2 linked regions of the Elephas maximus indicus genome follow. The protein of the gene in region 1 interacts with the protein of each later gene in a pairwise test. Links are inferred from orthologs where the notes say so. Each region holds a gene or a part of one and is shown in the gene's direction. Other genes may lie near its edges.

The links. The genes of interacting proteins can lie anywhere in the genome.
Region 2: the proteins of LDLRAP1 (region 1) and PSD4 interact in binary tests that used the Homo sapiens proteins (3 or more experiments, as listed by UniProt). The two-hybrid records come from large-scale screens. The link is inferred for Elephas maximus indicus from reciprocal best matches to the Homo sapiens genes LDLRAP1 and PSD4.

The regions. Positions count from the first base shown.
Region 1 is NC_064821.1:66,002,969-66,006,712, forward strand, and holds the start of LDLRAP1 (low density lipoprotein receptor adapter protein 1), read left to right. Parts: upstream 1-963; 5' UTR 964-1,065; coding exon 1,066-1,153; intron 1,154-3,744. UniProt on the Homo sapiens protein: Adapter protein (clathrin-associated sorting protein (CLASP)) required for efficient endocytosis of the LDL receptor (LDLR) in polarized cells such as hepatocytes and lymphocytes, but not in non-polarized cells (fibroblasts).
Region 2 is NC_064835.1:42,477,808-42,481,551, forward strand, and holds the start of PSD4 (PH and SEC7 domain-containing protein 4), read left to right. Parts: upstream 1-1,057; 5' UTR 1,058-1,134; intron 1,135-3,744. UniProt on the Homo sapiens protein: Guanine nucleotide exchange factor for ARF6 and ARL14/ARF7. Through ARL14 activation, controls the movement of MHC class II-containing vesicles along the actin cytoskeleton in dendritic cells. Involved in membrane recycling.

The DNA.
Region 1 (3,744 bases):
CTCCTTTTGGCAGTCTCACAGGAAGTCACAGGATCCTACAGAGTCACAGTTCTAGAGTCCTGGCGTTAGGGCATCTGCTTAAGGAATTCCGGAATGGAGACTCCTTGGCCCTTCCAGGGGCCTCCTAGAAAAAGGGACGGGGTGGGGGTGGGGGCGGGGTGGCTTGGTAGGTCGGAAGGAACAATAGTGATGGGGTCCCCTCTTATGTTACAGATAAAGAACAAGACCCATAGAGGGCAAGGACTTGCCCGAGTCACCGGACAAGTCAGTGTCAGAAGCTAAGACATAACACCCCAGGCCCTACCACCTTCTGAGGCCTCCTGGGGGGGCGGGGGATGGGCACAGTGTGCCCGGGTGGTGCCAGGGAGCAGCCCGAGTGTTATGTGGGTAAGGTGCCAGCTGGCCTTGCTAAGGCAAACTTTTATACTCCCGCCCATTTCCAGCAAAGTTCTACAACCTCCACCCTCTGCTTCTAAGCCGCCCTCTGTCCCTGAACAGGGCCCTTCTCTGTGGCCCTCAGTCTTCCCATCCACAAAGTGGTCTCCAAGTACCTTTCGACTGGGCTGTCTAGGAAATCCTAGGGTCGGGCGTCCCGACGGGAGAGTCCTGCGGTGGGGCGGTGGCCCTCGGACCTGCCAGTTCCAATGGGGTGGGGGGAATGGGGTTAGAGAGAAGGAGGGAAAGGGGGAGCCGTCTTCCTTTCAGCTCGCTATTTTAGGGGTGCAAATCCACCAACCGCTCCTTGGGAATCCTACGGACAGTTCTGCTCTGTATTAACACGGTCGCTAAGAGTTAAAAACCACTCGCTGGCAACAGCTACTGGCTTTTTAAGGCGCACTACGCCAGGTAGCGCGGCGCGCCCAGCCCCGGGGGCAGGGAGGGCGGAGCGAGGTAGCGCCGCCGGGGGCGGGGCGGGGCGGGGCGGGGCTTGGCGGCATTGGCCCCGCCCCCAGGACGCCGCCGCGGAGCTCGCGCGGGGGAGGGGAGAGCGCGGAGCGCGCGCCGCCCGGCCCCGGCGGAAAGTTTTTCCTGGCGGAGTTTTGGCGGCGGCGGTCGGAGCGGGCCATGGACGCGCTCAAGTCTGCGGGGCGGGCGCTGATCCGGAGCCCCAGCCTCGCCAAGCAGAGCTGGGGGGGCGGCGGCCGGCACCGGAGTGAGTGTGCACGCGTCCCCCGGGGCCAGGCAGGGGTCGGGCCAGGGCGGACGGGCCGGGGCTCATGGGCCTCCCGCGTTGCCCGCAGTTCGGAGAAGTTGGGGAGAGGCGGGGCCTGACCCGCGTCCTGCCCGGCGCGCGGCTGGGGCGGCCGTGCCGGGGCCCGGCGGGGCTGGGGGGTCGCTCCGGGTCAAGCTGTGCCCCCCACCCCCGCTCTGTGCAGCTGGGCAGGAAGGACAGACATCGGGGGACGAGGCCGCATGTCCGGGTGCCCAGGTGCAGGAGGGAGTGGGACGGGGTTGCAGGGCAGGAGAAGAAACCTGAGCTGTCCTGCACAGCTTTGGGGAGGCGGGAGCTCGCTGTCGGTGGCCCGGGGAGGGGACTGGGCGCAGGGGCTTGGGAAGATGCCTGGGTCCTCGCACCCCTGCGCCACCACTGACGTTAACGGGGGTGGCAGCACACTTGCCTCTTGCCCCAGTCCGACCCACGAGATCCTCTCTTGACTCCTGGGCTCCCAGAGACCCACCCAGGTGTGAGCCTGGGGTTGCAGGTACCTGCTTGAGGTTGGGGCGAGGCTCGGCCTGGGTCTCTGTACGTAGGTCCCTCACACCGGGCGATCTACACCCCCTTTCCCCTCCACTAGCCGGGTTGAGGTGGTGAAGTTGGCGTCCTGGCTATTTTTGAAACCTGTTTTCTCTCGCACCTTCGCCCTCGGGCTTCTGAAGTCCCGGGGGTGCCCAGGCAAACGGCAGACTCGCCGCCACCTCCCAGGGGTGTCTGGGAGGCCGGGAGGGGCCTCATACGGCCTCCTTGCCCCATCTCTCTCACTTGTCTCTGGTTGCAACCCGTCACCTGGCACCTTCCCCTGAGGCCTGAGAAACCCAGCCCAGATCCCTCCTTTTTCACCAGAGGAAATGGAGGCCCAGAGAGGTGGAGTGGCTTCCCTGGGGTCACAGAGGCCTTCTTGGCAGATGTGGAGCTTAAAGCCCAGGACTCATGCACACTCCTTCCCTCACCTGGTCTCTTCCTCCTCCTCCTCTTTTTCCTCCTCCTTCTGTGTCATCTTGGCCAAGGCCTCTCCCCTCTCCAGGAAACAGCAGGCAGTACAGCCACACACACACACACACACACACACACACGGTCCATCTTTGCCTTCCCTGGTCCCACCAGGGGAGCCCGAGCTTCCTCTCCTAGGAGTGCCAGCGTGTCTGGGCCTAGGGAGTCCGCCCTGCCCCTCCTCTTGCCCCACTCTGTTGTTCCAGCTGTAGCCGCCTCCTATATGAGATGAGGCTGACATCGGGAACTTGGGCTGGTGCCTGCTGGTGGGAGTGCCAGGCCAGGCAGGGACCATCTTCTATACTTCTTGGCTCCCAAAATATCCCCTTTACATATTTGTGGGATTCCACCAGGGGTGGGAGTTGCCCACTGCTTCTGAGAATGATGGTCTGTTCCAGCGGGGGGAACTCTGTGGTTCTCTTCTGGGATGAGGGAGAGAGGGTGGGTGGGGCAGCCCCCAGGGAGGTGGTTATGAAGTAAGGAGGGCTGTGGGCCCTGGGCAAGGGAGGGTAGCTTAGCCACACCTCTGAATCTGGAGTAGGGACGAGAGAGCTGCTGTGGAAAAGAGTCTCTCCTGCCTGCTCTGATTGGGTGAGTCACTTATCCTTTATAAACCCTGTTTCCTCATCTGTAAAACTGGGATAAAAATTCTTTCCCAGCCAGGGTGTTAGAAGATTACTGATGGTAGCACCCCCTCCTGACACCTAATTGGTGGTTTCTGTCTTCCCCTCCCCTTCCCCCTGCCTGTCCTCTGGACCTTCCACATGATTAATCCTACAGTGGAACAGGTTTTGGGGGCTCAAAGCCTGTGGTCACCTGCAGAGGAGAGAAGAGGAGAGCCTCCGCCCTCCCTAGTAAGCCCAGAGTGCTGCTGGTCCTGAGCCTTCTGTGCCCAGACTGATCTGGGTTCAAATCCCCACCTATCTCTCATTATTAAGCCCCAGTTTCCTCATGTGTAAATTGCAAATAACACTAGTACCGGAGTTGGATGTTTTTGTGGGGGTTAAATGAAATCACACCTGGCATAGAGGAGGAGGAAGAATGCTAAGTATTGCCTTTATCACTTTATGGTTTACAAAGTGTTTTTGCTTCCATTATTTCATTTGCTCCTGTGAAGTGACGGAGCAGGGGATTCTTCTCATCAGACCCATTTTAGAGATAAAGGAACTGAGGCTCAAGGAAGTGGTGTCATTGGTCCTGGACATAGAGCTTCCAAGAGGCAGAGCTCCAAATCCCAGCCCAGGGGTCTCACCAGTGTGTCCCGTGGGCTCTGTGGCTGTGGGTAGAGCTGGTGCCCCTGAGGACAGTAGTCGTCACAGGGCAGGGAGGGAGGTTGTGGAATGTGTGCCGGATGAGGGGTGGGGGGTAGGTTTGCCTTAGGTCATAACCAGCCAGGCCCTTGGGTCCAGTGCTGTTGGTCTGAGCCTTATGGTTAAATGATGGTACTAAGCTGAAGCCCAGTTAAGGTTAGACCTGACCCCTGCCCTTGGCCTGTGACCCTTTCCTTACCCCTTAGGTCCTCAGAGCTGGGACCA
Region 2 (3,744 bases), on another chromosome or scaffold:
AATGAATTTCTCTTTGCTAAAGTCATCCAATTGCGGTATCTCTGTTATAGCAGCACCAGGTGACTAAGACAGTAGCTAAGTGTTTACCTCTAGAAGACAGGCCTGGGTTGCCTGGGTCTAAAGGCACTGCTGCTATGAGACATGCAGTCTCTAGCAGTGATGGGGGAATCTCCCCGGCATGGACTAGAGCTTGGGGCAGGGTGGGGGCCGTTGGATCCTCAGCAGAGGAGTAGGTGGTAGTTGCAGCTGAAGAAGTAGATTGTGTTGAGGAGAAGAGAATGGGACAGTGTGCTCCTCACCAGCATCAGTCTCACACTCGTGCATGCCTTTGGTCTGTATCCCATGGAATTCAGCTGTTGGGTGTGGATTTTTATGATCAGAGGCTCTGAGCTCTAATCCAGCTTTGTGACTTGCCAGGTGTACAACCCCAAGCAGTGAGTGCCATAACCTCTCTGAGCCTGCTTCCCTATCTGTATCACAGTATACTAATGCTTCATAAAGTAGGTGAGGGGTGATTGAGATGCTACTGGTGAACACTTTGTAAGCTACAAAGTGAATGTGTCAGCTGTCATTATCACTGACATGAGATGCAGCCACGCAAAAATGGAAATGCTCTTTGCTAAAAAAAGAAAAAGGAAAGTCACCCCACCTGGAGGCCCCCCATCTCCCGCGAGGTGCCCTGCAAAGAGCAGAGAGCTGGAGCAGAGATGAAAACCCAGTGACAAGAACCACAGAGAGGAAGGAGGTGGCGCCTGCTCACAGCCAGGGCACTGACACCTTCCCCTTTCTCTCTCCCAGGCCTTTGACTGAGTGAGAAGGGCAATCCCTGAGGGCTCTTTCTGGGCCTGGTGCCGAGCAGGGTGGGGGCCTCCGGAGAGCAGGGGTATGGGGAAGGGGACCAGGAGGCCTGGGCCTGAGAGTGGAGACCCCGGTCTTGTGGGCAGGAAGTGTGAGGTGCACAGCAGCTAGGAGCCTGGGGAGGCAGCTGAGCGGGAAGGGGTGTGTGTACTGGTGGTGAGGGGGGAGCGGAAGTCGGAAGCTCCAGCTGCCACACTCAGGGGGCGGACGGACTGTGCAGCAGGGGCCGCTCCTGGGGCGCCTAGGCTAGCTCACCCCTTCTTGGGCTATTCAGAGGTGAGCTTTGGGTGGGACCTGGGGGAAGCAGTCTTTGGAGGCCCATGTGTGGGCCCTCGTGGCAGAGGCTGGGGCGGGTGGGCAGGAATGTGATGAGGGCTGTGTGGGACGTGGTATATGCCCTGCTGCGTGCGTGCACACTAACCGTGAGCCTGGCCTTGTGCTAGAACCCCGGCCCTGCCCTTTCCTTTACTCTGTCCCCCTACCCCATTCTACTTCCCCTCCCAGTCTGGCCCTTTCTCAGATTTCCTGTTCTGGCCCCCCACTCACCTCAGTGGTCTGCCTTCCCATGTCTTCAGTTGTGAAGGGTAAAAGGCCTGCTGTGGGCCCTTGTGACCGCTGTGGTTTAGTACCTATGGGGTCTTTCATGGCCAGAGGCCCCAAGGGAGCCTTCACCCAGACCCTTGAGTCGAGGGAAGGAGGGAGGCCAGACTGGTCAGGGTTTGTGGGGAGCTGGTGGGCAGGTTGGGTGTCATAACTGTAGGAACAGGTTAGACTCAAACTCAGCCGTTATGGCTCTCCCAGCTTTACTTTGCCTTTTGGGCCCCACCCAGAGGCTTGGTTTAGTGGTAAGGAACGCTGCTTGCTGGCCTGCCGGGACAGCTCTGGTTTAAGCTTATCGTCCTGGTGTATTTATTAATAGTACCTATGCCACTCTCCAAAGTGTCCCTATTTATTATCCTATGGTGAAGGGAGCCAAGTAGAGGAAAGACCCCCGTCCACTGTCTCCAAACATCCCCTTACTCTTGGGCCTGAAATCCAAAATCCCCCAGTTGGAGTCACTCTGCTAAAATGCCAGGAAGGGGGGCCTGCCATCAGTGGATGGTAAGTGCTACCAGCACTGTGGTACCTTCACCAGGTTTAAAGGAATGAGCCCTAAGCAGGACTGTCTGCCCCACTTCCTGGGGCACCAGGACATCATATCACCCCTCTTCTGCAGATAAGGACTACACCCAGCACAGAGATTAAAACCTGGACTGCTGAACTCTCTGTGGCAGGAAGGTGAGAGGTCCAAGGAAGGGGTGAGGGAGGGTAGTGAGGATAGAGGGTGACCCCTCTTGATGGCCTTTGTCCTTCATGGTAGCAGCTGCTCTCGGTTGGCACCCAATCCTCCCATCCTCAGGGCCTGAGCCCAGGCCGGCCCCACACCACAGGGCCTCAGCACCACTGTCCTCTCTCTGCGCATTTTCATGAAGGTTCCTTCCGGTGTGGGCAGGATGTGGGGCCTTCCGTACTCATTTCTCTCACGGTGCTCTGGGCCCAGGTTCAGGCAGGGGTTTCTGCCCTGGGATTCCAGACTGGGGAAGGTTGGTCTACCTGTGGTTCCTGGCCTCAGGAGCTGACACACCTCACCCATCTCCTGCCCGGGCTCTGCGGGTACAGGGTGGCCACCACTTGTATCCCTTGATAGGCCAGGATCCTTCGCACTTTTTCCACAGGGAGGAAAAAATTTTAAGGGTAAAAGGAAGCAATGCTTGCTTGCTGAGTCTGGAAGCTTAAAGGGGATGTAGAGGAGAAAGAGAGACAGAAAGAGGCAGAGACAGAGATATAGGCACTCTGGAAGGAATGGTTGAGGGCAGCCCCTTGCGGAGCTGAGAGCTGAGGGCACCAATGGGCTGAGGCAGTGCTGAGGGATTTTTTTTTTTTTTTTTTATTATTGTACTTTAGATGAAGGTTTACAGGACAAACTTACTTATTCAACAGTTAGTACACATATTGTTTTACGACATTGGTTAACAACCCCACGACATGTCAACACTCTCCCTTCTTGACCTTGGGTTCCCTATTACCAGCTTTCTGTCCTCTCCTGCCTTCTAGTCCTTGCTCCTGAGCAGGTGTGCCCCTTTAGTCTGGGTTTGTTTTATGGGCCTGTCAAATCTTTGGCTGAAGGGTGAACCTCAGGAGTGACTTCATTACTGAGCTAAAAGGGTGTCCAGAGACCCTACTCTTGGGGTTTTTCCTGTCTCTGTCAGGCCAGTAAGTCTGGTCTTTTTTTGTAGGTTAGAATTTTGTTCTTCATTTTTCTCCAACTCTGTCTGAGACCTTCTATTGTGATCCCTGTCAGAGCAGTCAATGGTGGCAGCCTGGCACCATCTAGTTGTACTGGACTCAGACTGGTGGAGGCCATGGTACTTGTGGTCCATTAGTCCTTTGGACTAATCTTTCCCTTGTGTCTCTAGTTTTTTTCATTCTCCCTTGCTCCCGAAGGGGTGAGACCAGTGGAGTATCTTAAATGGCTGCTTACAGGCTTTTGAAGATCCCAGATGCTACTCACCGAAGTAGAACGTAGAATATTTTCTTTATAAGCTGTGTTATGCCAATTGAGCTAGATGTTCCCCGAGACCATGGTCCCCAGCCCTCAGCCCAGTAATTTGGTCCCTCAGGGAGTTTGGACGTATCTGCAGAGCTTCCATGACCCTGCCTTGTACAAGCTGTGCTGGCTTCCCCAGTATTGTGTACTGTCTTACCCTTCACCAAAGGTACCACTTACCTATTGTCTATCTAGTGTTTTTCCATCCCCATGCCTCCCCTCCCTGTGACCATCAAAGGTTGTTTCTTTTTGTGTGTAAACCTTTTCATGAGTTTTTATAGTAGTGGTTTCATACAATA